Linked DNA regions of Arabidopsis thaliana. The protein of the gene in region 4 interacts with the protein of the main gene of each other region in a pairwise test. Each region holds a gene or a part of one and is shown on either strand. Other genes may lie near its edges. The genes, in order: MUB4, ATGP4, MUB6 and UBC29.

Region 1 (8,537 bases), on a different chromosome or scaffold from region 4:
AGTAAGCAATGTAATCACCAAAAGGATACTTCCCCCTGAGGATACCCAGAGAAAGAAAGAAATATAAACAAGACAAATAACACAAACTACAACAAGCATAGTAACAGTTCAGTTAATATAGAGAAAAAGGATTGAGAAAGAACCAATATATGCCTGGTCTGGCCAATGATCAAGGATCTGTTTAACATTATGCTCAATGCTGCTGATGTTAAGATCTTATACATTTCGTTTCCAAATCCAGCTTCTGCTGTTTTCCCTAGAACATAACCATGTCTACAAAATTGCTCCGGAGGCAGCTCACGGATCGCTGAAGCTCCTATAAACCACAATAACCACATCGACATTGATTCATCGTAAACACCTCCGCTTATATAAGAGTCGATTCAAAAACAAAATATCTCACCATTGATTTGAAAATGGCGATGGATAACATCTCGAACTCTGAGACTTTGATCTACGAAACCACCATCGAATTCGCTTCCCATTTCTTCTACCGTCGCGCAGAGTTTAGCTCCATCGACCATAGCCTCTCCAATCGAAGAAGAGTTGCTCCATCTCGAAGCCTCCTCGGATTCGGACTCGTCATCGTCGTCGTCGATGAAAGACGAATTAGGATCTACGGAACGGAGCGTGAGCAACAACAAACCAAAACCGATGAAGAAAACCACAGATGATAAGAGAATCGTCTTCCCGAACAACCGCTTCCGTCTTGTTCCACCGCGTTTCATCTCTTCCTCATCGTTTCTTTTCTCCGAAACTCGAACAAGTGTAGAGTTTCTTACATCAGAGCTTTGGATGCGATTGACACGGTGCCGTTTTGGATTCGTTCGTGTCGGTGGCCGTTAAACTACGTCAAACGGTATCGTATTAACACTAAACTGGGCCTAACTAACTATATCTATTAAAAGCCCATCAAGTTGGTAGGCGTCGTTTTCTGTTTTTGGTGCACTGGTGGTGGTTCATCCACATGACCACATCTAAATATAATCATCATTTTAATAAAATTACAAAGAAAACTAATCTTTTCGTATAAGAAGATATTCATTTGAGGAAATTTAAAACCCCCCAAACCAATAACACAATATTTTAATAAGAATGTAAAAATCCGTAACCCAAGAATAGTTGAATCTCAAAATTATAGTTGTTTCAACTTAGCCTATTTAACTTCAAATTATAGTTGTTTCAACTAGACTATTTTGGTGAATCATGTACAAGTTATCTTATATATTATTGTTTGTAATAATATACATCCAATATATTAAAAACTTATAGTTGTTTTAATCATTAAAATTTTTAAATTTTCTAGAATTAAAAACTTAGGGCTAAATCACTATAATATAATTGAGTTACTCTCTAATATACACTTTTTGTATGTCACCATTGACGTATCCATGAGTTTATCTAAGTAGTAAGAAGATTGAATTTCATTTTAAGTTTTATTTGTTAGTTAAACAATGTTTTTTTGTGTAGTTTAACATAACATCTCAACGAAAATTTAACTCTAAAAATTTGTTTTGTTAGTCAACTTAACTACGTGACATATTGGGTAAAGTCAACAAAATGAGCGATTAAAAATGCGAAGTCAATTAAAAATATGATTAAAATAAAAAGTTAATGAAAATTAGCGCATTATTTTACTCGAGATAAAGTTAAAACTTTTTATGCTATTTTTTACAATTAAAGATTTTTTTGACATTTTCTCCAAATATACGTATGCGTAAACTTATGACGACATAACTAGATGCAACTTTATTTATATATTATAAATCAATAAAATATTTACACAGATTGATATACTAAATTTGCTGTAGAAATATGAATTATCAGTCTAACGAAAACAGGTGACCTGGTAACTCGTGCTTTAAAACTAGTAACAGTCGTGCAATTTTTCCGGACGTTTTAGGAGAAATTGTGTAAATTTGTTCGTAAAATTTTGGTGTGTTTTCTAGCATTCGCCAAAATTTTCCTCTGTTCATTACGTTGTGAAATAAAAAGTGATTCATTTTCCTTATTTTTCATACTAATAGTTTACAGCATACGAAATAAAAATTCAAATTTTGTTTTTAACCAAAGCCAATGGTCGAGAACAAGACGAAAGACATATATATATATTTGAGTAGAAAGCAAACAGAGAGTTTCAATAATAGTGAATGATAATTTGTAGTTCTAAAAACCTTATTTCTTGCCACACAAGGCAAGATCCCTCTTGAACGGTCTGAAATTCAAAGCATTGAATCCATAAACACAGGAATTAGACTGTTGAGACTTAAACAAGACCTGATCCGTAGTGGTTCTATAACCAGGAATGTTGCAAGAAGAATCGGAGAAGTTTTTTCTTCCAATCAAACTCGCTTGACAAGAACTCGCGAGACTGTCCACATCAGCACAATCTAGAGAAGATATGGCTACCTTGTACAGTCCAAACTCGTTGGTGGTTCTGTTTGCAGAGAATGTTATAGTCTCTGTCGTTGTTGACGAAGCTGCTTTGAATCGGCAGACTATCCTCACTTCCACACCTGTGTAAAGAAACGTTAAGAAACAGAGTTTTTGCAGGGAATTAATTAAAGAGATCTTTTTGTTCTGAGTTACTACCGGACATGAAGTAACTGTGTTTAGAGAAACTGTTTTTGGAGCAAACATCGCAGTAAACAAAACCCATTATAGTGATTTCTGCATCTGGTTTTGGTTTGGGTGATGAATGCTTTGAAGATAGAGAGTTTACGAGCAGAAATTGCAGAAGTATAAAAAGAAACATTGTCAGTGATTTCTTCGTCATCTTAAGCACAACAAGTTTCAAGTTTGGTTTATTTGATATTTATGTAAGAATTGGAGAATATGTGTGTGAAGAAAGAAGAAATATAGGGAACTAGTTTTCAGACAAGAATAGAACTCTCTTGAAAGAGCTTCGTGGTTCCTTTCTATATATAGAGAGAGTTATACAAACGTGTCTTTTAAAAATAGGCTTGGATACGAAACGGATATTTTTACTATTCATTTTGTTTTTCATAGTTACAATATTCGAATCGGATTAAAGTAAATACCATATCGAAGAGAAAGTGATGGGAGTACAAAGAAAGGTGCATTTGGAGTGAAGATTATAAATGAGAGCCAGAGGAGAGGAATAGAATTAAAGGCGAAACAAGACAAGATAGTGGAGAGACACTAAGTGAAAGTGAAGGTTATAAATGAGAGAATTAAGTGGGAGACAGTGATAAGTTAGGTGAAAGGACATTTATTGAGATCTCATGCTCTCTGTTTCTTTTGGAGGTTTGTATCTACCTACATCCCCAAAACATTGGCTTTGTGGAAGTGGAAAATGATGAGAAAGGTATGGACCATATAGTAACATATCAAAGTGTTTGCCACTCAAGAACCAAACTGCAAACGTTTAGTACTCGTTTTCACTGTAGGTAATGGACTGGATAAAGATGTTTGGATACAGTTTTGGGCGGATCCTGATAGAGAAAAAAACCAGGTCTAAAATGTACTAAAGATTGACAAAACCATACAAGATATGTTACAGAGATACTTGAATTAGTTCGCGGTAACAAAACTCTTATCTTTATAAAGGATGCTCCAAACAAGAGTTTTTCCATCACAGCTCAAGAGAAACAACTCTAATAGACTAGCTTTATAACGCCATAGATGAAGGTTTCTTTGAACTTGTGAAGAAAATGTCGAATATGAAGCGGTAGTTTATGTTTATATGGTCTTTTAGCAAATACCACAGAGAATCAAAACTTAACTCTTTCAGATTTTTTGACTTGGGACTTGTTGTTGTTCTCACATTATGGTACATGAGCAAAAGCTTCTCTGTGGGGCTTCTTCCTTTTCGATTTTTTTCTCTGTAAGAGAAAGAAAAAACAAGATATTAGGCTAAAGAATTCATTCCACAAACAAGATTTACGGAGATAAGAAAGAACAAGACCTGGTCTTGCTTTTGTTGGAGACAGTTGCACGACAACATGCATTGTAATGACGGATTTAGGGAGATCATCAAATGGAGCTTTACACTGTGCAACAGTTTTACCATTCTCCAAAATCTTACCAGCATTTATCAACTTGATGTCACTAGCTGATTTTGGAACAATCTTCTTGTCTACACACATTCAAAACCCCCAAATTCGATTAGTCAATAAGATACAATAGGAAACAAAATGAGACAAATTCAATTTTTTGTTGAATGCACAAGACTGAAGAGTAAGATCAAGAAATTCTACTAAAAAGAACCAGAACAGTATTCGTCCCTATAGTCTCTAAAGACATGATTTGTAGTATAAGACAAGTGATTAGTAATACAATCAGACCAATTCAAAAGCCTATACCACAAGTGGAGAAACTGTTAAAACATAGATCACAAGATCGAGTAACCTTTTAAAAGATCAATAGTTTAACTTCCTTCTTCTGTTCCTACTTTAAGACAAATGATTAGTAAGTCAATCAGATCCTATGACTTATGTCTGAACTTTGTCTATCAAGCCACAAGTGAAGAAACTGAAGAAAAAAAAAAATGGCTGAAGCAAACGTTCTAAAGCCAAATCTAAAGCATTAAAGAGCACTTCTATCGCATTTTTACTTCTTTTTCACGGATTAGCCGAAAAACAAACCAAAAGATTGTGCTCGGTGCTAACCTTTAGGCCATTCAGAGACAATTCTCTCCTTAAGCATTGACACTGTGGCGGTTGGAGAGTACTGAAACGGGCCAACATCTGAACCGTCATATAACCGGAATTTCAGTTCTACCAAATCTTCCTCCGGCATTTGATTATCTCTTTCTCCCAATACAAAACTCTCACAAGAAAGATTTCACCAGAAAGAATCCACCCAAATGAGACCTATAATAATAAGAGGACAGAGAGATTCTCAAATTCAAAGCATCAATGAAATTGTCGAAGCAAAGAACAAAAATATTTAGAGAAGACTAGTAATAAGAGCACAGTCAAACTTAAAGGAATCAATTAGGAAATTTTCAGTTACTGTCCAAATCAAGAACTTGGACCAAAGGAACAAGAAGAACAATAAGCAAAAGAAAAATAAAAACTTGGAACTCATCTAAGCAACCTAAGCTCCTAAACCGTCAGATAAAGTTACCACAACACACAAATCTTACCCGGACTAGAGACACTCAATCCAAATGTCCAAGTTTGCTAGGTTTTGAGTCTTGGGAATGAAGAGAATCAAGAAAGTAGGAGAGAAACCCTTAAAAGGGTAAATGACCTAATCTCAAAGTGAAGCTGGTAAAATCCAGCTAAGAGATTGCTGCTATGTGATTCTATCAAAGTTTCTGATATGTCTTTCGTCAGGATTGCCGCGTTACAGGGAATCCCTGACGAGTAAGGAAATAAGATAAAAAGACAAGAAAATTGTGGAAAAGTATGTTTCTTTATTAGTCAAAAGCAAAGCCTTGTCGGCGTTTTGACCAGAAGACTTTAAAAGACGAGCAACAAATCACTTTGGTCCAAATCTGACTTCCATGTAAATTTCAAAGAGAGGAACAAGAAAATTTGAAAATCTATAGAATCTTCCAACAATAGTAAAATCTCAGAGCAAAACAAAGGATTTTTATGATATGTTTACAGAGTTGAAACCTTGGATTAGACGCACAATTAGAAAGCATACAAAGCACATTTTAAGAACATAAAATCCTAATTATCAAAAGCCCATTGAAACTATATTTAACAAAAAAAAACCAAAAAAAAAAGTGAACTTTTTGCTATATGAACCCCTACGAACAGATTTACACTACTGGCGAGTGACAGGTGTAATAGGCACAGATGAGTTAATGCCATAGAAACCATCTTGTCCCTGAAACTTCTGGTATGAATTCTCCGATGGAGCAGAGGTTGTTGAAAGTTGAGTGAGCCCAGGTACCCAAGGACCTTGTTCTTGTTGTTGTTGCTGAGTGGTTGCAGTAGAGGTTGCTATGGTGTAGTTGAATGGTGTGTGGTTTACTGGCCCGGGAGGCTGTAACGGCTGCAAAAACTGAGGTTGAAGCTGGAATGGTGGTGGTGGTGGAAGCGGTTGTGGGGGTGTGGAGGATGATGTTGTTGCAGTGTTCTGATGGTGCGGTGAGAGATACGACTGGTCATGATTTTGAAGCTTAGGTCTTTTCTCTGGTGGGAAATCGACGGATGATAGAGTTTCTGTTACAGCAGGTGGGTTGTTGTTTCCGATGATGCCTTCGGAGGCTAAGGAGGAGAGAACATAGGAGAGCATCTCGGCTGAGGAAGTTGAAGCAGTTAGCTTAGCTACCACTGCAGCAGCAGCAGTTTTTCTTGGGTCTTCCAGCGATTGAGTTGGGTTTGAGGCAAACATAACTGGTGCAGATTGTTCCACATCGCTGTGTGTGAAGCTTTGTGGTGCTGCTGCAGTGGATGAAACTTTGATAACTTCTTTTGACTCTTCTTCTTCTGTAGCAGGAGGCTGTGAACTACCACCATGGTCTAGAAGCTGTCTGCAGAGATCACCAGTTCGGTCTGATTGAAACCGAGCAATCTGAAATCGTAGCACAAATGAAATCAATTCAACTAAATAGCATAAAGACAAGGCAACATTCTGTTTGGAAAGGCAACCAAGAACCCTAATTAGATTTGGGTCTATCTTCCTTGAACAAATTCACTAAACAAGCTTGAAGCTAGACCAGCATGTCTCGGAAAGTACTATTGAGAACGTTATGATGTATTGTGTAAATTGAAATGTATAAAATGTCTGAGGAACAAATATCACATTTGTTGGTAAGTATTCAAACCTGAAGGTGGTTACGGACTTGCTCCAGCTTGAGTTCCTGGACACAAAAACAAAAACAAGGTGAGGTTTCTGGCCGGTGCAATGAAAGATGTTGTTTTGAAAGAAAATGTATAAATGTAAACCTGTTCTTGTAAAGCTTCTCTCAAATGTGAGATAAGACTTGTTCTGGATGTCTCCATTGCCCCTAGCTGTTCGATGCAGTCTCTCAATATGACATGTTGTCCCTGCAACTCCTTCACCACCGCTGGCCCAGGGGCGTGTCCTATTTAAAGCAATGCTCAAGAAGTAAGATAGTGAAAACAACTTCAAATGGATGCTTGAACAAGAATTGGATCTTCTCTATCCTACAAGTAAAGAAGTGTAATATATCTACAAGCAGTTAATATAAAGACCAGTCCCAGTAATCAGAAATGTAGTGACAAAAATTAGGGATCCAAAATTAACCAAAATGTGTAGCACTGGTTATTCTCGTTGCGGATTGGGGGTAAGTGCTCTTATCATTAAATGATTTGACACAAAGATATGCTGAATATTCCTATCAAATGGTAAGAGCCACCATGTTTAAAAGATGATTTTGGCAAAAACTATTTGGAAAAATGAGAGAGGAGCATCATGGAAGTAAGAATTGGAAGCGTGGTAGTGGTTTAAGATCACACATAGACCAGATACGAGATTGTTACGCAAATTTTAAGATTTCGGTTCAGATACAAAGGGTGTGTGGTTAAAGATAGACCAAACAGCTGAGTTCTTAAAACAAACGAATGTAGAAAACTGAAGCTATGTCGCTTGTCACTTGATAAGAAAAAAGCATATCAATACATTTGCAGTAATGTAGCAGCCAATGGACGGTGATACCTGAACTAAGATCTCTTTCAACCTCTTGTGTTGCTTTCTCAAGGTAACCAGCAGCATTAGTAGATTTTCCAACAAGAGCATCCTCATCAATCTGAACGCCGTGAAGAACTTCAACAGCAGACACTACTTTCTCCAGTGTGGATCCATTTACCTGTCTCTGAGGAACAGACTGCAGAAATGACAGAGTTGATTATGTGGTTAGCATGGAAGAACTCGAAAGTAGAAATTATCACATAACAGTGGACCGTACTGAGACATACTGGTACGAAATTGCTTGTACAACAAACTCTGACTTACAAGCTTAAGTGGCACGAGATTTCCGTTTCTGGTTCCATTTTCAGGCTGTCTTCCCAGAAGTTCTTCTTTGAGAATTTGTCCACGGGATCCAAAAACTTTCCTTTCTTCCCATATATTAACCTTGAAGAAATAATTACGATAATTAGCAATGCAGTTTTCTTGTCAAATTCTTTAAATCACATCAATAAGTGGCATTTCTATGTTCTCTAAAATCTCAAACAAAGAGAAATTCAGAGAGAGTGGTAGATAAAAAGTTAACTTCACGTACCAATCGGCGTGCGGATTTTCTTCCAAAGTCATCACCATTTTCAATCATATCACGAAGAGCATCAGGGAGTACTTTCCAGAACTCACCTACAAACTCCGAACCCTTTCGCCTGCTATTCTGCAAGATATCATTCGCGAGGTACAAGTATGCCAAACGTTGCTCACGTGGGGCACAGTGAAACTGCCTACCCCATGTTTCTACAACATGTTTTGCTTTGTTCATGTGAAAGATACACCAATGTGATAAAGCTGTATAACGTCAAGGAAAACATACACCATAATAGTATACAAGGCGAGAGAAAAACAACACATCACATGAGACTAATCAAAGGGAAACTAATTTACAATAAAAGCAAGTTGGGAGAGTTGAG
Region 2 (8,331 bases), on a different chromosome or scaffold from region 4:
GATTATTACTCATACAGAACTAAATGTTTGAAAGAAAATAGAAGGCTACCTGAATATACAGGCCATCACAAATGTAATGGCCGGGAGTAGGTTGAACATTCCGGAAGTGAAAGTGGGCGTTGTGAGCTGCATGCCTGTATAGTACAAGTTTTGCTCCAATAGTGGCCTGTAAGAAAACATTTGATTAAACCTCTAATATATTGATGAATGTGATGATTCATACAAACTATAAGTAACTTACTCGAAAATGCTCATGATAACTATCTGAGCAAAGATTCTTTTAGTCAGGTCTTGTATTCCTATAGATTTGAGATTATTATTAGCACCAGAAACAAAACAAAACAACAAAAAAAACAGAGAAAACATACAATAAGTTATGGTTGGTACCTCTCAAATACTAAAGCAAGGGGTGATAGAATTGAAAATGCAATAACCAGACGCGCAGCAACAAAGATTCTCGGAGAAAGCCCGTAATCTAGAGCATACTTTGCAATGACCGACATTATGGATAAACCAATCTGAATTGAAACAGCCGCAACTACTGGTAGGATGTTATGATCATGGCTTCTTCTTCTTCTACGTCTTTTTTTTTTGGTTAAATTATATTCAAAAAAAAAAAAAAAAACGTTTTAGATCCGTTTTTCTTAAGTTTTTAGTAGAAATTACTTAAAAACCATTGCCTAGGAAAATAAAAATAGAACACAAAGCTTTTACCTGAGGAACTGAGTACTGAAAGCAGCTTAGTCTCGTGAAGCAAACCAGCCTTTGTCGACTGTCGTAGCGTCTGTCCTCGGTTGATTGAATTGTCCAGATCTGATTACGAATATATTTATCTATCCATCGGATGAGGTTGGTTGCAATTCCTGGTTGCACTTCTTCTTCGTCTTTTTCTTCTTCTTCTTTAAAAATAAAATAAAATTTAAAAGTGTGGTCTCAGTGGTGTTCGTCAATGGAGGAGGAGGTGCAGGAAGAAAATATTCTAAAGAAAATGCTTCCAGCTCGTTTTTACTTTAATGCTATTATAGTGTGTGGTTTTTACGCTTGTTTATCTCCAAGCTCCTTGTTTTGGTAATATGACATTAACGTCATTATGACTCTTTAACTACCAACTCATACAGTATAAATACCGTAGTTAGCTACTTATACATGTCGTATACGCTTATACTACTCAGATTGACCGGACGATTCGTCACCGGCTTTCGTGTCTAGGGTTTACCGACAGCTCTCTTTTTCCATTGGGCCCTATCATAATTTATCCATCAACAGCCCAATCTTTTTAGCGCCACGCATAAAGCTTGGCTCCCTTTTTTGGTTTTTTTTCTCCTCGTTTTAAATGTTAAAACTAGGTTGTTTTACTTGTGTTTTGATATTTTTAACTATTGTTTGTAGTACATGTGTTTGATTCAATTTAGTTTCATATTGCCATCTTTCTGCAATTCTTTTTTTTTTTAATGTAGATAAGTACATACCATTGTTATGACTTTTTTTAGTTTATGTTGGTATTTATAAGTAGCTAGGTTATGACTTGTGTCATATATCATGTGTTATTACATCATGCCTCTGTTCGAGACTACGTCGCCTTCATCCATCACTACTCTTCCTGTCTGTCTGATCGGAACCGCAACTCCATCCTCTTACCTTTTCCCAACCTAAAACAAAAAGAGATGAATTTTCTGTTCGAAGTGATGTTCAGAGTTCATGAATTCATTAATTACATTTACGGGCCAGCCAGAATTTGGCCATTTCGCAAATTCACCTATACTAAAACGGTGTGAAAGGAAGAACGAAAAATACAAAGGCACAATCTTTTTTAAAAATAGATAGATATATAATTATCTTCATCACACGTAACGTAATGGACCTAGTAACCTATACAGCTTCCATACATTGGGAAAGTAAGAAGAAAAAACAAATAAGGGACAAAGAGTTACTTGAAAAGAATTTATAGTTCATTTTCTACACATTCAAAGATGATAAATAACTCCACAGCTTAAAGGGAAGCTTTACTTTACTTTTAGCTTTCTTTTTTTGATTTTGTTTTCTTCTGTACCGGAAGAATTGAAACGATGTGTATGATAGATACATTGGTCTTCCTCCCTTCACAAAATGGTGCATGTGCAGATTACTGCCTTTGGTGCTTTATCAACCTTCTTCTCTGTTTAATCAAAAACCAGTATTCAACTGTTAGTTAGCTTTCATCAACAAACGTCTTAGTAATCACAAACTCACTTTCCACGACTTTCTCAAGTTTGTGAAAAAACAAATTATGCAGACAAATCTCAAAGACTGGCAAAAGTTTTCAGTGGGGTTTACAAGGAGATGACGACCAATAATGAATTCAGGTATTCCTTTCCTCATGGCATGCTTTGCTAAGCTTAGAGCTGATTTTTGCTTTATTTCACACAAAGAACACACCAGAAACCTAGGAATGAATTCTAGGGTATCCTTTACTCTCTCTCAAGACAAACAAACCAAATTTAGACAAAACCACTAATCACCTGATAGGTTGATTGAGTCAGTACCATAGGCTGTTAGAAAGAAAAAGAATGTACTGATCTTAGTCACCGACTAACTTTCTGATGTGCATGAACACTCTTACGAAATCTTACCAGCCTCAATTAATATAAGTATGACTAGAGCTAGATATTATAAGACGTAAAGTTGAGCCAGATAAATGAATACCATAATCCATACAGTTGACAAGATAAATACCACAAGACTAATGAAAGATTGAGGAACCTCTAAGGACACATATATCTCCATGAAACGGGAATTCTCTGATATAAAAGACATGAAGAACATTACACATAGACAAACAACTACCTGTTTTGGATTTAGCTAGAGAAGGCTGTACAACAACATGCATCACAATGACTCCACCAGCAATATCTCCAAATGGTGTCTTACACTGCCCAACAGTCTTGTTGTTCTCCAAGATCTTACCCGAGCTTATCAGCTTCACTTCGTTTATCCCCTTTGGAACAACTGTTTTGCCTAACCAAAACCACAAAAAAATTGATGCTTGGATCAACCTCAAATCACAGAGACTTGGCTTTTCTCATACATCAAGCTTATAACATCTCAAATGAGCTAATAATAATTCATCTACAGCTCTAAATTTCGAATTTCTACCGACAATTGCAGGATTCAGTGACAATCAACACGAAATTCGTGGGAAGATCATGAATAAAACCAGGATCAGATTGGGGAAAAAGGGGCACCGATTCAAAAAACCTTAAAACTAACCTTTGGGCCAATCAGAGACGACCCTCTGCTTCAAAAAGTCAACAGTAGAAGCCGCAGAATACCGAAAAGGCCCGATATCGGAGCCATCGTACAACCTGAATTTGATATCTATCGATTCTTCCTCCGGCATATCCGTTGACTTCTCTCTGACCTCCGATTACCAACCAAATTCCAGCTCCGATCACCAATCCCGCTTCTCAAACACAACTATTTCAGATCTGAAAATAGGTCTGAAAAAAAGTAGACAGGAACGAGAATCAGAGCTCGCTTCGAAACGGGATAGAACAAAAAAACAAAAAACAAAAAAGAGGAAGAATCAAACACACAGAATCGAAGCTTCCTCCGAAATCGTGTTTCGGATCTTTGATTTTGAGGTGTGAAAAAAGCGAAAGAAGGAAGAAGAAAGAGCTTGCTTTTTTCAAGAGTCACCAAATATCAAAGTTCCTTCTCAAGCCGACGGTTTTCACTTTTTTCCTTCCTTTTTTTTTTCCCCTTTCTTTTCGTCGTCACTTCTACTTCTTCTCAAGCCGACGTCTTCAACTTTTATTGTCCTAGCCAAAAACGCTGTCGTTTTATTCGAATTTACCTGTCTAACTGTTCCCACTTCCCACCATACTTTTTTTTTCTTCTTCTACAATAATATAATTCGTTCTGATTTTGGCAGTATTGTGTGGTTAAGACATCATAATTCTGATTTTAGTAGGGCTCCAAATCTTATACGAGTCGGCCAATATATAATATATTAGTTGTATGCAACAAAACAAAACGATGGAAACTTTCCAATACTTATTTCTACAAGTTGACACTTCTTCACTTGAACTCTTTTCTTTCACTGGAGTTGTATCCTTTAACACCACTAGTGCTCTTTTTATTTAGGTATTCTTTATCATTTTATATTTCATTATACATATCTTTAGATACTGCCAAAATGTTTTATTAAAAAGGAAGAAGATACATTCGATTACTTTTCTTATGATTCGAGTTATGCGTTACTTCTTCTCCCAGACAGCAAAGTCAAGGCCTGAATAAGCTAAAGCAAAATTAGAAGGAACAAGTGTTCCCACATCTTGCTTTGGTCCAATCTTCATGATAACTTTATCATCAATCATAGCCAAGTAGAGATCCGCCTCTGCCGCTTTTATCGTTACAGAGCTTGTGCTACCAATCCCATTTTTGTTCCTGATAGCCACCAGCTTTGAGATGCTCTCTTTTAGTCCCCATTCTATGTAATGATTATAAAACTGCAACAAAAATAACATATCAACAAGATTGTAGTTGTAAATAGTATAGCTACATACTAAAATGATACTTACAATGCAAGGAGTTCCTGGATGAGTAAGTATATAAACGTATCCAAGCAAGACTTTATCAGAAGGGAAAACCCACGTTCTGAATGTATCATGGTTATCTATGAATGTGACAGCGTTTCCGGGCATGATTCCTATCATACCAGGCGGTTTTCCCTGCGAGTCCTTTAGTCTCCAAAGCTCACCTTTGACAGCAGACTGTAAGATCCCTTTGGTGGTGAAATCAAAAGCTGTCAACACACCACCACCCGCTTCCTCGATCCACTGTTTGAGACCCGACCGATGCTCGTTCTGATCATAGTCTAGTTTCCCGTCTCCTCCGTACTTCATATCGTCCCATTTCTCACCCACCGCAAAATCCGGTGATGTATTCTGTGTATCCAAAAACAGAGGAATTTATCACATAATCAGTAGTGAACTTTCTTATATATTTCTTATTGATTGCATTGACTTATGTTTCTTATATACTAAATAGTAGTAAATAACCCTATCAACCTATGATACTTATATATACTAATAGTAAATAATTATCTCAACCTATGTTTCTTATATACTAATACTGTTGTCTGATATTTGAGAATTCATATGTGATTTACCTGAACGTATAATTTGGTGATGGAAGATGCATAACCTCGAACATAATCAAATCTCCAACCATGGAATCCGATTTCAGTTTTAAGCCAATTCATCCATTCGGACAACTCTTTCTGAACTCTAGGGTTAAGGTGGTCGATGTCGGGCGCTCCATCAAAATCTCCTCCGGTGTCGAGGTTTCCGGTACCGGGAAATTTAGGGTCATTGCGGCAGACAAAGGAAGGATCCCAATCAAGACGATCATCGGAAGTCCCACCTTCGAAATAACAGTATCCACATTTATCGTCTTTCCTCTCAGCTGTTCTGTGGTTAATCACTATATCAGCCAAAGCTTTTATTCCTTTTTGATTCAACGCTTTGATTAACGATTTCAGTTCCGCCTCTGAACCGTATTTGGAGCTGTTTAGATCGTATAGCTTTCCCGGTAAGTAACCTGAGGAATGAAGATTGCGTGAGTAACAAGATTGGTATGTGAATGTGTAAAGAGTAAAGCAGAAATGGAACCTTCAGGAGCAACGGATTGAGAAGGAGGAGGAAGCCAAAGATGAGTGATTCCAGCGTTGGCTATGTCGTCAATGGAGTTGTGGAGAGAATTGTAGAATCCTCCTTCTTTCTTCCATGACTCCCAATTGAAACTCTGTTTCACAATTGAAAGAAACCCAATAAGTGAGTGTGTAGAGTCTGTGTATGTAAAGAAGCAAAACTAAAGACGAACCTGAAACAATAAGGTGGAGGAAAACGTGAAGGTTGGAAAGACGATGAAGAAAAGAAGAGAAGAGAAGAGTAACGTATGGAGAGATGTCATTGTCTGATTGTGAATGGTTTGCTTCTTCTATCTGCTTTGTGTGTTTATATTGAGACCCTAAACCTTGTAGAGTTACGTAACCTAAACGACACGGCCTTGTCATATCTGATATATTTCTTCATCAGTCTATTTTTCTTGGGAATGAAATGTGAATACATTTACAAGGAGTTATGGCAAAAAATCTACTCTGTCTGATCCTAGCTCTAAAATGAGTCAAGTATGGTCTCCCTTTAGACCTCCATTTGTCACGTTTTGAGTGGACAATAGGTTGAGAATATTCTAGGGGAAAAAATGATATTTGGAGCTAATATATGTTGTTTGGGCTGTTAAAAAAAGTGATTGGGCCGTAACATTAACTTTTCCTAGAGGAATCATAAAACGAAGAGGCTAGAGTACTTGTTATTTATTAGACGTTAGGGTAAAATAGAATTGAGAAGTACTAGGTAACTCAATTCTGGTAGTCCAGATGAATTCTGAAGTATTGTCTACATGTGATGTACACCATAATGATTTTTTTTTAAAACATCTGACCTGTGAATGATCATGTTTATCTAACTTACTTTGAATTTTCATTTCCTTTTTAATTAGCCGGACTAATAAACTTTTAAGTATTACTGAGAACAGAGGCATCAAAAACTATTTTACAAAATTCTAAACGACGCACATAAATTTTTGAAGGATAGTACAATTTCGAGATATTTCGAAAGAAGATGATGAGAAAATAAAAGACAAATTAGGAAACCAGACTCAACAGTTCAACATTAAAGTCAATCACTAATTCATAATTGAAAACTAAATCTTGACTTAGTTTGGCATTTTCTTGTCCATCTGGTCCTCTAAGTCACCACCATGAGTTTTAATAGGATGACTCACGTCAGGATTAGTCTGCGGCTGAACCGTAAGATCACCAGAAGCCGGAGTAGATGAAAGCTTGACCATGTTGATGGAATGATCCGACACCGTTTTGGGCTTCTCTGTCTCATCAACCACTAGTGGAGTTTTGTAGTACTTGAATATGACGTATAGAATCATTTGGACTGCTCCGAGAAACGCACCCAATATATTTGGAAGCTTCAAATCATAAAAAAGTAATCACATCATCAGTAACAATCCCACTAATCATTTTTTGATAGGGAACAGTAATCCTATTAATCGCCGACAACCTAAAAAACTTTATATAATTGTACTCTCGGTTTCTTTTACGTGATCATATAATATATGATTGTAAGCATAAAGCAAAAGTAGCGTACGGCTCAAATCATTCATTCGTCGTCTTTAAATAGATGGAATTTGGGCAAAGAGACAAAAGGTGGTGGAAACTCTTTTGCCTTTAACATAAACCACACATAATAATATATGATACTATGTTTGAGCTGTCCATTTTCATATACTAAAGAAAAAGATTCACATATAATATAAGAAAAAAAGAGAGACTCACCGCAACGTAGAAGTCTTTAATAGCAAGACCGTAGAAGAGCCACGTAATGGCGCTGATTGTAAGAAACAATGATAGAGAGAAAGGCATAAACTCCACACTCTTTGTTCGTATCACCACTCTCTGCGTCATCATTTTATACAATTTCACATGTTAGAGAACTATATAATATACGTAAACATAAAGAGATGCTATTACCGGAAAAGGAAAGACAAATATTAGTTTCTTTGATTTTAGAGTATATTATATTCTCTATATGAATTAGCATGGCTCTTTTTAGATAGACAAACATTTCTTTTTTCTGAGTGCGTGTGATACATGTCACATAAGTATGTACGTACCATGATGCTCAAAGGAGCTGCGAAAACACAAACAGAAAATCCGACGCAAATCCCTCCAAGGACTTTCTCACGGTTCGATCCTTTGGTTAGGAGCTCGCAGACGAGAATAATAGCAGCAAAACCCAAGAAATTCAAGAGCCCAAGAACCTTCAAAGTTGATATCTACATGGTTTATCATCATCAGCTAAACCTGTATGTATGAGTGCATGTTTTAATATACCAAAAGAAATGGGATGGTTTAAACGTACTCTAGCTTTCTTGTTAGCATAGGTGATGAAGAGGATGATGTAGATGGTTTCGATGAAGCATCCCACAGCGTTTATGGTAATGAGAAGGAAGCCTGCTCCATCTTTTTGCAGAGCATAGTAAATCCATAGCATCGCGCTAAAGAGGGCTGACACGTAGGGAAGTGATTCAAAACCTTCTATCGATTTTTTCTTGCAGATTCTTACAAAAGTTGGCCTGAAAATAATGTCCAAAACATTTTTCTTTGTTAAGAGAAAGCAAATAAAAATAGAAGTGTACGTTTGAGATCGATGATGCTTACACTGGTGCCAAGAAAACGATGAACGATATGATGTTACCTACAAAAATACATATAGG
Region 3 (7,815 bases), on a different chromosome or scaffold from region 4:
ACTCTTCACTCTCTGAACTAATTTCGAAAACCTCATTTTTTTAAAGTTTTATACTTTAGGTTTTATCGATTCTGGAATTGGACTTAGCTCTTGAGGTTTATGTTTTGATCTATGTCGGATTCATAGAAAAATAAAATTAGGGTTTACTTGTATCGGATTAGTGTTGCAAGCCCATTTATTGATCATGTGTGTTTTTATTGCAAAGTTTGGTTTTTTATTCCTAATTACGCCTAATTGTTGGGAAATTTATGATTTGTTGCAGTGACTCTTCTTGATTTCATCAATAATGGGTTCTGTTATGAGTTTGAGCTGTTCCAAGAGGAAAGCAACGAGTCAGGACGTTGAGTGTTCAAGCGAATCTCGTAAAAGACGAAAGATATCTTCAGAGAACGATGAAGAAGAGTGTTGTAGATTGATTCCAAGTCTTCCTGATGAGTTATCTATACAGATTCTTGCTAGGCTTCCTAGAATTTGTTACTCGAGTGTTCGGTTGGTTTCTCGGAGGTGGAGATCGGCTGTTTCGACTTCTGAGGTGTATAGTTTGAGGAAAGAACTTGGGAGGACTGAGGAGTGGCTCTATGTGTTGACTAAAGGTCATGAGGATAAGCTTTTGTGGTATGCTTTAGATCCTGTGTCTACTAAATGGCAGAGATTGCCTCCAATGCCGGTTGTTGTTTATGAAGAAGAGTCTAGAAAGAGTTTATCTGGTTTGTGGAATATGATTACACCGAGCTTTAATGTTGGTGCGATTGTGAGGAGCTTTCTAGGTAGGAGGGACTCCTCTGAGCAAATGCCGTTTTGTGGGTGCGCTATTGGTGCTGTTGATGGGGGTCTTTATGTTATTGGTGGACTTTCTAGGTCTAAAACAGTGAGCTGTGTTTGGCGGTTTGATCCGATTTTGAACTCTTGGAGTGAAGTTAGTTCTATGTTGGCGAGTCGGGCTTATTCCAAAACAGGTGTATTGAATAAGAAACTATATGTTGTTGGAGGGGTTGATCGGGGACGGGGAGGTTTATCTCCTCTTCAGTCAGCTGAGGTTTATGATCCAAGCACGGATGCTTGGTCAGAGGTTCCGAGCATGCCTTTCTCAAAGGCGCAAGTGTTGCCAAATGCGTTTTTGGCTGACTTACTAAAGCCTATTGCCACAGGAATGACTTGCTACAACGGTAGGTTATGTGTTCCTCAGAGTTTATACTCTTGGCCTTTCTTTGTTGATGTTGGAGGAGAGGTTTATGATCCCGAGACAAATCTCTGGGTTGAAATGCCGTCTGGTATGGGTGAAGGTTGGCCTGCGAGGCAAGCAGGTACAAAACTGAGTGTTGTGGTGGATGGTGAGTTATACGCTTTTGATCCTTCTTCTTCGATGGAGAACGGAAAGATTAAAGTGTATGATCAAAAGGAAGATACTTGGAAGGTTGTTATTGGGGAAGTCCCTGTGTATGACTTAACAGATTCAGAATCTCCTTATTTGCTTGCTGGGTTTCATGGCAAGCTTCATTTCATTACTAGAGACCCTAATCATAACGTTACAGTCTTACGAGCTGATGTCCCCAACATCCCAGTCTCCTCATCATCATCTAGCTCCAGTTCTGTTTCAATCCCACACTTAAAGACCAATGCACCTAACAAGTCAGACACTGTTACATGGAAACTCATTGCAACCAAGGACTTTGGTGCTGCTGAACTTGTTAGCTGCCAAGTTATAGATATATAAAGTCATCAGAAGCTTTGCCCATTTCTCGTGGGCCATTAAGAATCTCTGTGTACAGCCAGAAGCAAAAACATGAAGCTTATGAGATGTTCTCCCAAAGATTTTATCGTCTAATTCTTCGATGATATATTCTTCTGGCATTTGGCTGCCAAAGTAAGCTTGAGTAATAAAATGTTGTGTGACAAATATATAATAATGCGACTGTTGTATCGAAATTTTTGACATGCGCAAATATACTATAGCAGTACATTACCTAGCAGTACAATTGCAGAAGTTCTGAATATGTAACATCAGTATGCTTCTGCATACATATTTCTGTAGTTGGTAATAGAGAAACTTGTAAAAGAAATAAAGTTTCAGGTAAAATTTGCAACTTATGGTGTGTATGTGATTCAGGCAATTAAAACAGTCTAACACAAAAAGGTATTGAAACTTCCTCCTTTTTTGGTTAATCCATCTCAACCAGGGATCACATTTCTTGAATTGAATCTAAACCGGAAATATTCGGTTCGGTTTAGAATCTCTCTTCCTTGCACTGAATTATGTAGCTCTCTTGATTAGTTTCTTGCTTCGACTACAATGGTGGACCTAAAGAAAGTAAGAAGACAAGAATGATATGTATAATTGATGCCTTAAGAATTTAGAACGAATCATATGCTCATAAAGCAAACCGTTTCTAGATTCTCATTTCACACTTCACCTCTTTTCTTTTTATCTTCTTTGATTTTTATATGAAAGTTGTTGCTTTTGATTTATTTCAACGAATCTATTCTATGATTAATTTTTGACATTTGTTTTAGTACTTTAATCTGATGTGAAGGAAATAGTCTTCTTTTCATGAATATCAAAGTATCACTAGCCTGTTAATTATTCCATCCAAAGGGTGTATCGGTTCTTTTTGTGGCATGCACGAACGAATTTTTCTTCATAATAATATTTGGTTGGTGTTTAGGAGGAAATTTTTTATGGTTGAACTTGAACATTTGAATTTCAACCATTTGGAACCAAACTAATTCTCATTTTAAATGATTTCCACTTGAACAAAAACCGATTATATCTATTTTTTTTTCTTCGAATGTTTTACTTGTAAGTTGGTGTATACAATTAGATTCATTACTTGAAAGTGAAGGAATTTTAGTTATACCTCGGTAACATTTTTTCTTTCGAACCAAATCGAATCCAAATGTTAAAGCATTAATTAGACCAAAATTTCAATTATTTCATTTAATTACCAATCAAGATTACTCACTAGATTGTTCCTCATGTCTTAAAACCCCACGGAAAATAATCGATTTGTGTAATTAAACACAATCTTTAATTAGTTAAAGTAGTTAGGCTTATATAGTTGGTGGCTGCCATTTTCTAACACATTCGAAATTACAATATGTTTCTTTGTGTGTTTATGCTAATCCTAAATTCCAGAAATGCCCCTCTTACCATATAATTTTGGCATATATGCCAACATATTAAAACAAGAATCCTATAAAATAATAGAGGAATCCAAAACACAAGAAATAAATTTCTTTAATTAAAAGAAATTAATGGTTGTTAAAGAGTTCAATATCAAAAGGGAAAGTATCAATACCCACTTAATAGGAATCAAAATTATTGAAATCCACTTGTTCAATATTGATATTGTACAACATGGCCAGAGTTTTTGACTAATACAATATCACTATCGAACAATCTAAAGTTAATTCACAAGTCTATATTTTTGATTAGTAAGTCACTAAATAATCAAAAGTCAGCTTTATTGATGATATTGTGTAGGGGTAAAAACGTCAAATTGAGGATTCAGGTAGGATTACGAAAATAAAAAAGAATCTGAAAGTTTCCCAATTTGTGTTATGTCTGCTCAAAGACAGCCTTTGTAACCAAAACCAAAGTGTCTCTCTTTTCTTCTTCCTAAATTTCTTTCCACGAGAATTGATTTGGGTTTGTGTTGTTTTTTTCTTTCTTTTTTGGGTTTTTGTAATTGGGTTGGTGAATAATCCTGCAAAAGTGTTCGATGATTTTCTCCAGAGAAGAATTTTGAAGTTTCTCTTTTTAGAGATTTTTTTTGTTGTTGGGGTTTTTTGTTTTCTGGGGGAAATTGAAAAGAGATGGCAGGTGAAGAAGATTGGATAGAACTAAAGTTTAGACTAGCAGATGGTACAGACATAGGTCCAAGCAAGTATAATCAATCTATGACTGTTTCTTCTCTTAAAGAGAAACTCATTTCTCAATGGCCTAAAGGTATTTTATACTTATAGTTATGCTTTTGCTTCTTTCTACAGCTTTTCACGGTTTTGATGGTTGAGTCTCATTTGATTCATTGCTTCATGTATTTCTTTTTACTCTCCATTGGGTTTGATTGTATTAAATTTGTCTTCTTTCTGCAATGATTTGAATGTATGATGAACTTTTTTGGGCTAGTCTAGGTGTTGAACTTTGTAAAGTATGAGGCTTTAATAGATAATTATAGTTTTATAGTGTGAAAGGTTTAGTTGTTGTTGTGTTAAGATCACTCTAGTTACTGATTTTGGCTAAAACTAGTATAAGATTGATGTCTCAAATTGTATTGTTTTTGCCTGGATTTTTTTGGTTTAGGTGTTTGGTGTTTCTTGGCCTTATTGAATCTTATGTTGCATTTACTTTCTCTACTTAAGGTTGTTTTATAATTGCATTTTCAATGTTTCTCTGTTTCACAGATAAAGAAAATACTCCAAAAACTGTAAATGATATGAAGCTCATCAATGCCGGGAAAATACTGGAGAACAATAGGACACTTGCTGAATCCAGGCTTCCTGTTTGTGAACTTCCTGGAATGATCATTACTATGCATATTGTTCTTCGCCTTCCTACGTTAGACAAAAAGAGCGGTAATTTTCTCTACCTTGTTATACTGTTTATCGCAGTGTAACAACATGTTCCCTTGAATTCTGTACTCGTTAACTATGGCTTTGAGATCATGTTCATATCATCTCATTATATGAAAATTTTCTGTTCCACAGAAAAACTGCAGAATGATCCACCGATGAAGAATCGCTGCGTGTGCACCATTTTGTAGCTGCAAGTAAATTGGATCATAGAGATTTATATCCGTCATGATCATGGCACTAGATGATGCTCCACGGAACAACTTCCATGGCATCAAACAAGCTTTGAGAAGTTCCTTCAGTACAGAATGATTGGCATAGGCATGAAAACAAAAGATCTTCATTACAGAATTTGGTTCCATGTGTGTGGTTTTTAATTATTATTTTTTAAAAATCAAAATGGCTTGAGAAAATGTACTATGATTCTTGAAGGTTGGTTCTTTTATAAATATATACAATATGTTCAATACAACAGTAAATAACAAGAATGGTATTGTCCTTATGTATGTTCTTATTCTCAACTAAACTTCTCATTTTTTGAATTAAAGAATATGGGGTTTCTATACAACACAGAGAACACATCACTTTAAAAACCCCATATCTTGAGACTCGAATAAACAACAATTATATTAAGCTATCTATAACTCGAGACCACTCTTGGAACTTGGACTTCTTCAACATTCTTGGAACTTTATATACATGGTAAGTAACATCTGTGCATTAATGTTCACCAAGAGTTGCTGATGATGAACGGTTCAAGAGCATAGCCTTCTTTGATGCCCTAACGTTCTTCAGAGTCATCATCAGCTTTTGTCTCTCTCCTTCAACCTCTGCAAACTTGAGGCTTAGCTGAGAATAACGGTCATGCATTTCCCTAAGCTCTGTCTCCATAGACGAATACCGGCCTTTGGTATCCAACATTTCTTCAATTAGATTGTTTATGTCTCTGAAACTCTGGAAGATTGCTTCGTCATCGGTGTGTTGCTTCAAGAAAGAGCTGCAATTTCAGGCAAAAAGGAATAATAAGTTCAACGTGGTCTAGTATAGTTACAAAGGCGAAAATTAATAGCAGAATTTTTGAATCGTGTACCTCTGGAAATGGGTGGTTGATTTTTTCTTTCCACGCAATGCTTCAGCGAGTTCTATTTCCAGTGCAAGAACCCTTTCCAATGCGTTTCCGCAACTGAAATTCTCTTGAGATAGAGGGAAGATACTCTGAAGTTCTTCCTTTGCCTGTCGAAAACAAGATCATAAGACTTCTACAGACACTTATGCTTCAATTCATTACAATCTCTAAAAGGTAAACATCAGCACCTGACGCAACTGCATCAGCTCCTGTTCCAAACCCGGAAATCTGGTGTCTGAATCATTATCATCTTGAGGTTCAAGTAGATTCTCATTCTTCATCCGTTCTAGCTGTAAAGAAGACAGAAAAAAGACCCAATGACGCTAGGCAAAATCTTTCTGTAGATAATTACCATCATGTAGATATTGTAATTCAGAATTGCCATCCAATCCAAACTAAGTCACTGATATTAACATTTCCAATTAATTTAACTAGTAATTTTAACCCTTAATCCAGTATTACCTCATCGTTTAGGTGATCCATGCTAGACCTTAAAGTCTCTGCCCTGAATTTATCATTGATCAAAGCTAGGCTTTCTTCACGTTTGTCCAGCGCCATTGCTTCTCCGGAAGGTAATTGGTCTCTGTTTCCATTTACACTGCTCGATTGAATAGTACCCTGATGAACATACATTAAAATAAGAAATTCCTTATAGCACCTTTTTTTACCCGTCGAGCACAGGAAATAACATCCTTAATATCTAACTAGAGAACTATTTACAGAAAACATCGACATACGTAGTAGCCTAGTCATTACCAGCTTGATTAAATCACGTAAACTAGTTTTGCATAACATTTCATAAAGAAGATGCAGCAGAAGTTTAGGGTTGGAACAGAACTCGTTTTAACTTCTATGATACCATGAACTTGAATATTCTTAACTTCCAAATAAATGCTAATGCAAACGCAATCTAACTGAGGGTTACCTGAATTATCGACCTGGGACTGATGATCCGCACTGTAGGATCAATACAAGCAACTTCCCTTTGCCCGTTGTTCACCGAGTCGCCTGAAGAGACTGCAATTGTATTTTTGTCAGCCAACTCTGACACCTCACTATTTAATCTATCATTTTCTTCCATCTCAATATTTTTCTGAGAGCTGCAACGTTGTACTAATCCTCTCCTTGATTCTAGCTCTTTGGACATTTTCAAACTCTGCTCTTTGCATTGTTGCAGAATAGCTTCAAGCTTCTGTTTTTCTTCTTTGCAGCACTCAAGGCTTAATAATGAGCAATCCAGCTCTGCCTTCATCATGTCATAAGCCGTGGTTTTCTCACGTTTATCATAGATAACAGATTGTCGATCAGCCTCCAGTTCCAATATTTTTCCCTCCAGCTCTTTAGATCTCTTTAATTGGCTGGATTCTGCCTTTTTCCTTGCTTCATTCTCATCAATGGCATCTTGTAATTTCATCAGAATTTCCTCACCATGCTTCTTGGACATGGTCAGTTGATATTGAAGTTCCTGCAGCTTGGTGTCATACTGTTCTTTGATGAAAATGATTCTCAACGACTCCTGCTGTGGAGTTAGCGGGGCTTTGTAGTCGGCCTTTTCACGAGCACGATTGCATTCTGCTTCAGCATTGTCCTTAAGCTCTTTCAAATGATTGGACATGCTTTTGAACTCTTCTGTTTTCAAAATCTGCTCAGAGAGCTTCTGAGTGAGATCACTGCACCTATTTTTCAGTGTTTCAAGCTCACTGGCACCTTTCCCACAAAGCCCAGTTAGTTTATCTTTTAGTATCTCAACTGTAATTTCCGCCTCCGCTTTTAACACCGTCAAATTTTCTATTTCTTCTTCATACCCAAACAGCAAAGATTTTAATTGCTCGACCTCAGGAGCACATAAGCTTCTCTCAGAGTAACTTCTTTCTGCATTCTCATCCCTAGTTGCGTGCTCTTCGAGTTCAGCTGACATTTCATCATTTCTATCAGCAAGAGCTCTACTTTTAGCCATGGAAGACTCTAGCTCAGACTTTAAGACTTCAAGATTAATCAATAACTGATTGTTTTCGTCCATATACCGCGTTTCGTTGACTAGACAATGGTTAAGGGCAGATTCCACATCAGTGTACTTCTTCTGAAACTCAAGGTGGCTATTAGAGCAGCAGCTAAGTTGT
Region 4 (7,356 bases):
ACATTTAATTAAATATAAGGAAAATAAGAAGATTTTGGATTTTTAAGAGATACACGATGAGCATTAAGAGACAACATAGTATCACCTAAATCCTTTGTATTTTATCATTAAATTTTGTCTTTAGGACATAAATAAATTGATAGTTTTGATGCCATGTGCCATCAGCATTTGTACCTGCCCAGCTGCCACGACTAATGAAACCAGATTGACACAAATAGAATAAGAAAGTAAAAAAGAAACTTACATTGGAGGACCTGAATACGTAAATGCTGATAGATCTTCTGGAGATATTTAAGAAGATTGGCTTTATTTTACTTGTTTTTTTTGTAGTGAAGATAAATATGATATGATCAAAGAAGAAGAAAGTGTCGGTGAGAAGATAGAGATAGTATGATTTAGCGAAGCCAAGAAAAGGGTCCAGTGAACAAAAGAAGACAGGGGACCAATTTTGTTTTTTCAATTTACTTCCTTTTTTTAATTTTTAATTTTTTTTATAAAGATTATATTTAAGGGAAAAGAAAGGTGAATAAATGAGGGCTCTTTTTGTGTGATGTTGTTGGTTTTATATGAAGAAATGAGTTGGTTAGGAGAAAGTGGCAAGTTTAGCGGGAAAAGGCATGAAATTAGGTGTTTTAAAAGGGCCAAGTCCCAAGTGAATATGTGTGGCCACCGGCTATTTCGGGCTTAGAGCTGCCTCATTACTTATGGCCATATAAACGGCTTAGAATTTTTAATTTTCCGAGAAACGGCTTATATCGAAATATAAAAAAGAGATAAAGATTAACAAAAGAAAAATTCTTTCAATCTAAACGGATATTATATAAATGTTTCTTTTTTCAATCTTGTACTAGTTAAAAATTCACTTTTTGATTGGTAATCCAATTAGGAGAAAGAGTGTGTACATAAGAAACTTCTGAAAGTAAAGGTTTATGAGGTCTTGGCTAAACAATCAACTTGAAGTTACAAGAACGAGAAATAATTAGCTTTGAAAATAAATAAAAAACTTAACTCGAAGCAAATTCATCGAAAAGATTAGAGAAAATGGTTTAATTCTCAAGGAATTCCACTATTAAGACAAGTTCTACACAATGTATTTCAAAAAGCTGATAATTTATCCGTCTTGATAGGATATTATTATTCATGGCTCATATAATAAGGCTTCCATTTCCAAGTGAATCGGTGAGAGACTCCTCCTCCTGTGACATTTTGCCTTAAAAGTACTACTTTTGCATCTTCCTAAAAACAACTCGTCTGGCACAAAATTATTGGAGAAAACATTGGAAGTACTTCTCTTTCCTTTATCTCTCCTACAAGATTCAATTGAGCAGCCTCCCATGCCAATTGTTCACTTCTAGCATGACTTAAAATACCTAAAGCCTCTATACTTTAAAATACTTTCTTATTCCTTGATTTCTATAAAAGCCAAAGTCTCCAAAAAAGCTATGAACATGATCTTCTTCTAGACCATGACTGTCCACCTGTCCAGGCTTGCAAGGCGTTTACAGTGCTGCGATGCACCTGAGATATTAATGGCTATTCCGACTACAACATATAACTACCTTGGTCAGTTAAAGCTAAGAATATCTATGGGAAACCATATAAAAAAGCTTAGAAGTTATAATCGTACTCGTAAAGCAATGGATCATCTTCATCAATCAATAGCAATAACCCTTTTCTGGTGGATCTCAGTATTAATAAGAAGAAGAGGAGTGAAAGTTAATAAGAGAGAACTGTCATGTTGCTTTCTCGTCCATTCCTCTCTATCTTTTAATTATTTCTTTATAAGATCATATATATATATATATATATATATATATATATATATATATATATATATATTAGATAAACCCCGTTTAAATAGGCGAATATAAAAAACATATATAATTTTTCAAATAATAATTGAATTCTAATAGCAATGTACACTTTTTCATTTTATCTAAATATTTTAAAACCAAAATTTAATTTTATCCATTCTATTTTGCAATAATTTAACTATATATTTCATGAAAATATACTGAATTTTAATTCTATATATTTCATTTTAATGGATAAGAGCTGAAAAAATATTTCTACATATTTCATCTTCGTGTTTTAATTCTTTATGATATTTAAATTTTAAATAGTAACCCACACACGTTTTCAATATTTAGTGTTCTAACTCTTATTTCAATCTATCTATTCTCCAAAAATATCGTTAGATAACGTAAGTTATTTTTGTTGTTTACTAAATAACTAGGCTTAAACTTTAAATATTAGTAACTTGTCCTAAATTTTTTACACAAACATGACTATAATTAATTCTCATTTATCTTTGATACTATTGAGTTTTCCCATTATAACCTTTATCTATGCATCTCACTATTTTATGTGTTGTTTGAAATCTATATTTTAGAGTTATTTTAACAAAATAAAAAGAAAAATAACAAAAATTTCGACAAAATACACAAAAAAACATATTTGAACGGTCCTTTAAAAAAAACAAATTCGCTAATAATATGAATTATTTTATTATATAAAATATAATTAAATTTTTTGATTATATAAATAATTTTTGTGATTTATGTATATATTTTATTTTCCCGATAGGGTTAGAAGATTTTTTATATATTAACAAAATTAGATTTAATACATGTCGATATCTCATCAATCATATGAGTTAACAACTTTGAAAACTCTACTTTATATATTATATATGTTTGTATTAAAATTATAACAATTTCTTCTTCTTCTTTTTTTATTACAAATAAGACCAAACCAAAATAAAAAGGAAAAAAAGAGGAATTGTGAGCTTTAAAACAAGGCATACTTCTGGGTCCAGCTTCGAGCCATGGCTTCATATTTGGTCTTGTCAGTTTTGTATATGTGAGCTATCTCTGGCACCAGAGGGTCGTCAGGGTTTGGATCTGTTAGAAGAGAGCATATAGAGAGAAGCACCTATAATACCAAAATGTTAGTAATTTGTGTTACCTATTGGAGCTTCTTGGTTATATACCAAATCTGATATATGGAATTATAGAAAATATTGACAAATAACTAAATACATATATAGAATTTCAAACCTTAGAAATGGTAAGGGCAGGGCTCCATTGGTCTTTGAGAATGTCCAAACATATGTTTCCATTACTGTTGATGTTTGGGTGAAACACTTTGGTTCTGAATACAACCTGATTTTATCAAACAAACATAACAACAAGAGTAAAGAAGAAGAAAAAGATTGAAAATAAAGATCAAAACTTAAGGTTCCAAAAGATCATAAACGATCCAATATTTAATGTTGGTTTTGTGCCTTTTGGTTATTGGATTTAAGAAGTAGATTAAAAAACAAAAAAATTGTTGAGAAAGTTGTTACCTTGGGAGGTTTAAAAGGATAATCAGGAGGGAAATGAATATTGACAAGGAAAACACCTCCGGAGTAAGGACTTTCATTCGGACCCATTATAGTAGCTTGCCAGTGGAACATATCTTCTCCTGTTGGACCTAAAAATCCCAAACCAAGGAGAAAGGAAATATCAAAATCTTTAGAAAAAATTTCTGATACATGGCTTATATTGTATTAAGAACAAATTGTGATCCTTTACCTGCACTGCATGATACAGGAGGGTCTCTTTGCAACTCCTTCAATTCTTTCAATATCCGTCTCGTTGCCATCAGGTTGCTGAGTGTTTGATATAATGGAAAGTAGCACTACAAAGAAGTATGTGAAAAAAAATATGAGTGGTTTGTGAAGAGAAGGAGAATGAGAGTTGTGTTTTTAAAGCGTGAACCGTAAGCAAAGATTTGTGATTCTCTTGCAAACAGGAATGCTTGCACTATTGCATTTATCATTGTTTAAGTAAAGATTTACCATTGTAAAGTCTCTTTTTAGCCGCCCGCTTTGCCCATAAAGGTAATGGAGAAAGATCCATTCTTTTGTTCTGATTCTGAAAGAGAGACGTGCCTTGAAGTGGATGGTCTTACGTACATGCTTACTGTAATATACCATATCTATTGAACGGTCTATAATGGGATTTGATAAAGTCTGAGAATCAGAATAACTTAACATAAAGAATGGTTATTACAATATCCTTTGTTCTTAATCTTATTGTCCACGTTCACTGGACCAGCAAAGTGATGGGTGATGAGCATCATGTTCAACAAATATAATCATAAATCATAACATACATTTGATGAGGTAAAATAGTTATTGAAAACTTATAGGACCCATTTCAAAAGTTTCTTAAGATTATAGGCCCATGTATCATTAGGAAAAAAAATTATAGGCCCTATTTACATACTTTAAAATTTTACAATAAAAAATTTACAAATCAGAGTGGCGTCGAGTGAGGAACACTCCACAAATCAGTGATGCATATATTATTTCCTTATTTTAAAGATTTATATCACAACATATCGTAGAGATCGTCATTGATCAACCTATATATGTAAATGTAAATCATTGCCTTTCAATCTAAGTATAACCTTCAAGCCTCTGTTTATTTCAGACTTATTAGGTCTTTTGAATATTGCTATAAGAAGAAACTCCACAGCTGTTAGTCCAAAGTTAATGTACATGCATGCTACGTGATTTGCCCAACCGATATTTTATGATGGTGATTACGGGAGGAAAATAATTCTCAACAATAGTTGGTCTCGATTTTTTAAAAGACGATTAATTGATTACTTAAAAAAATAGCCATTTTTTTTGTAACAAATGTTGTTTGCTTTGCTTTCAATCTTCAACCACACGGTCAACACATTTATGTATTTTACGTAAAAGAAGCATACCAAAGCTTTTACAATTTTTGCCGTTATGATATTTAAAGTTAGAAATAAGCTAAAGGTTTAAACGATGATAATCCAAATTACAGCAAAAAAATTTACTCAACTTGTAGACAAAGAATAATAACTAGATAACAGGTTACACAAATTTTTGTTAGATCTCTCATGGATTTAATCCACATTTCCACAATTAAAGAAGAACCAAAAGTGGTGTTTATAATGAACATAATAAAATAAAATAAAATCATTGGTTTCGTATGAACCATTTTTTTTTGGTGTAATACGCACCTTCTCAACATAAGCATTGGCTCACATTTCTTTTTGGTGGTGATTGAGAGAAGTCATTGTGTGTATACCCGCCAAATTAGGCTCTTCAACCAAAAACCTTAAAATTAGAAAATTCAACGAAAACAAAATGAAAGGAGGAAATAAGGAAATAAAAGGGAGAGTTATTGGAAGTTTTATTTACAAACAAAATGTGGAATCTCAAATTGAGAATACGTGAATTTCTCTGAAACCTTATGTTCTCTGCGAAACATTCTCTTATTTCATTTTCTTTCTCTAAAGTTTTTATTTCTCTGACAAGGAAGATATCCCTTTAGGTGGATTCTTGTTTAAATTTAAAAATCCTCAAGAAGAAGAAGAAGAAGAAGAAGATAGTCAAATGAAAATACATTCTTCTGATCATTCATGGCTTTTACTAGCCGTTCTCGTGATTCTCCTCTCCTTCTCTGGAGCTCTCTCAAGCGATGACAAAGAGAAGAAGACGAAATCGGTCGATAAAAAGAAAGAAGTAACTTATGATGGAACGTCTTTGATCATCAATGGAAATAGAGAACTCCTTTACTCTGGCTCCATACATTACCCTCGTAGCACTCCTGAAGTAAATGATTCATACACTCGTTAGTTAAAGTTGTTTTATCTTTAAATTTTGTTTTACTTACATTTTTGAGAATATGTGATGTGGGTTTTGCTCAGATGTGGCCAAACATCATCAAGAGAGCGAAACAAGGCGGTTTGAACACGATTCAGACATACGTTTTTTGGAACGTTCATGAGCCTGAGCAGGGAAAGGTAATTTGAAATATTAACAAACAAAAACCTTTAGAAAAGATTAAATCACTGTTTTGAAGAGTTTTTTATTTTGTTGTTGGGACAGTTCAATTTTTCGGGTAGAGCCGACTTGGTGAAGTTCATAAAATTAATTGAGAAGAATGGTTTGTATGTAACCTTGAGGCTTGGACCTTTTATTCAAGCTGAATGGACTCATGGGTATGTTTATTTGTTACATTGTCTGATTCCTCCAAATTGAGATAAAATTCTTTTACATATGTGACATGTTTAATGCTTATGGTTATAATGAAACATCAGAGGACTTCCTTACTGGCTGAGGGAAGTTCCCGGGATCTTCTTCCGTACCGATAATGAACCTTTCAAGGTATGATTATTAGTTTTCACATATGGCTATGCATATGTAAGATATGTGTGTGATATGTTGGAACAATTAAATAATTTGGAGAAAACTATTGATTGTAGGAACATACAGAGAGATATGTTAAGGTGGTACTTGACATGATGAAGGAGGAGAAGCTTTTTGCTTCACAAGGAGGCCCCATTATATTAGGACAGGTAACATTGACAAAAAGATAAAGATTAATAAAAACAACAAACACATTTTTAAGATATGAATCATAAAAGTTTTGAAAGATTTTTTTAAAATTGGCGTTTGGATTCAGATTGAGAATGAGTATAGTGCGGTTCAACGAGCATATAAAGAAGATGGATTAAACTACATTAAGTGGGCATCTAAACTGGTACACTCGATGGATTTGGGGATCCCATGGGTTATGTGTAAGCAAAATGATGCTCCTGATCCTATGGTAAGTCATATTTTATAACACGTTCACTATAAAAACATAATCATAAAAGGTTAAATCAAGAACTTAATTTGTTTTGATACAGATCAACGCTTGTAACGGAAGACATTGCGGTGATACATTCCCTGGTCCAAACAAAGACAACAAGCCATCTTTATGGACAGAGAACTGGACTACTCAGTGAGCTTTTCACTTGAACACCTTAATTAGTATGTTCTTGATGAAACAAACGACAATGACTTATAATTTGATTCTAGGTTCCGCGTTTTTGGCGATCCCCCAGCACAAAGATCTGTAGAAGATATAGCATATTCTGTTGCCCGGTTTTTCTCCAAGAATGGAACCCATGTTAACTACTATATGGTAAGTGATCGAATACCGAATAAAAAAGAGATTTATATGTAACGTTTCAAGAATGTTGTTAAATATTTGTTTTTCTTATAGTATCACGGAGGTACTAACTTTGGAAGAACCTCTGCACATTATGTGACAACTCGTTACTACGACGATGCACCTCTTGATGAATTCGGTAAAACTAAAACAAAACATATAGCATATGATCGTTGTGAATGAATAAAATCGAGTTACAGATTAATATGTATGTTCTCATTTGCCCTTTTTTTAATACAAAGGACTGGAAAGGGAGCCTAAGTACGGTCATCTAAAGCATCTTCACAACGCCCTTAACTTGTGCAAGAAGGCACTTCTCTGGGGCCAGCCT

What was found.
Region 1: the proteins of UBC29 (region 4) and MUB4 interact in a two-hybrid assay, tested with the Arabidopsis thaliana proteins (one study listed by BioGRID).
Region 2: the proteins of UBC29 (region 4) and ATGP4 interact in a two-hybrid assay, tested with the Arabidopsis thaliana proteins (one study listed by BioGRID).
Region 3: the proteins of UBC29 (region 4) and MUB6 interact in a two-hybrid assay, tested with the Arabidopsis thaliana proteins (one study listed by BioGRID).

The regions. Positions count from the first base shown.
Region 1 is NC_003074.8:9,942,684-9,951,220, forward strand, and holds MUB4 (membrane-anchored ubiquitin-fold protein 4 precursor), read right to left. Parts: upstream 5,402-8,537; 5' UTR 5,111-5,401; intron 4,836-5,110; 5' UTR 4,762-4,835; coding exon 4,632-4,761; intron 4,100-4,631; coding exon 3,929-4,099; intron 3,846-3,928; coding exon 3,784-3,845; 3' UTR 3,073-3,783; downstream 1-3,072. Other genes in the region: AT3G26950 (uncharacterized protein), read right to left, coding at 1-35, 154-316, 404-728; AT3G26960 (Pollen Ole e 1 allergen and extensin family protein), read right to left, coding at 2,176-2,516, 2,593-2,776; AT3G26990 (ENTH/VHS family protein), read right to left, coding at 5,743-6,495, 6,749-6,784, 6,870-7,009, 7,603-7,771, 7,900-8,019, 8,168-8,415. UniProt on the Arabidopsis thaliana protein: May serve as docking site to facilitate the association of other proteins to the plasma membrane.
Region 2 is NC_003075.7:12,847,874-12,856,204, forward strand, and holds ATGP4 (Ubiquitin family protein), read right to left. Parts: upstream 3,938-8,331; 5' UTR 3,573-3,937; exon of another isoform or gene 3,477-3,572; 5' UTR 3,377-3,476; coding exon 3,247-3,376; intron 2,995-3,246; coding exon 2,824-2,994; intron 2,156-2,823; coding exon 2,100-2,155; 3' UTR 1,778-2,099; downstream 1-1,777. Other genes in the region: UMAMIT16-psi (nodulin MtN21 /EamA-like transporter family protein), read right to left, coding at 50-166, 388-503; AMY1 (alpha-amylase-like protein), read right to left, coding at 4,236-4,487, 4,560-4,925, 5,150-5,580, 5,652-5,784, 5,863-5,952; SWEET14 (Nodulin MtN3 family protein), read right to left, coding at 6,757-7,023, 7,391-7,510, 7,729-7,890, 7,977-8,190, 8,276-8,312. UniProt on the Arabidopsis thaliana protein: May serve as docking site to facilitate the association of other proteins to the plasma membrane.
Region 3 is NC_003070.9:7,768,084-7,775,898, forward strand, and holds MUB6 (membrane-anchored ubiquitin-fold protein 6 precursor), read left to right. Parts: upstream 1-3,575; 5' UTR 3,576-3,813; coding exon 3,814-3,946; intron 3,947-4,049; exon of another isoform or gene 4,050-4,401; coding exon 4,402-4,572; intron 4,573-4,704; coding exon 4,705-4,760; 3' UTR 4,761-5,071; downstream 5,072-7,815. Other genes in the region: AT1G22040 (Galactose oxidase/kelch repeat superfamily protein), read left to right, coding at 287-1,714; AT1G22060 (sporulation-specific protein), read right to left, coding at 5,290-5,566, 5,660-5,802, 5,884-5,985, 6,158-6,313, 6,621-7,815. UniProt on the Arabidopsis thaliana protein: May serve as docking site to facilitate the association of other proteins to the plasma membrane.
Region 4 is NC_003071.7:7,264,172-7,271,527, reverse strand, and holds UBC29 (ubiquitin-conjugating enzyme 29), read right to left. Parts: upstream 3,807-7,356; 5' UTR 3,649-3,806; coding exon 3,579-3,648; intron 3,478-3,578; coding exon 3,350-3,477; intron 3,165-3,349; coding exon 3,060-3,164; intron 2,935-3,059; coding exon 2,791-2,934; 3' UTR 2,473-2,790; downstream 1-2,472. Other genes in the region: AT2G16730 (glycosyl hydrolase family 35 protein), read left to right, coding at 5,423-5,641, 5,737-5,832, 5,918-6,030, 6,130-6,196, 6,295-6,387, 6,495-6,638, 6,721-6,815, 6,893-6,998 and 2 more. UniProt on the Arabidopsis thaliana protein: Accepts the ubiquitin from the E1 complex and catalyzes its covalent attachment to other proteins.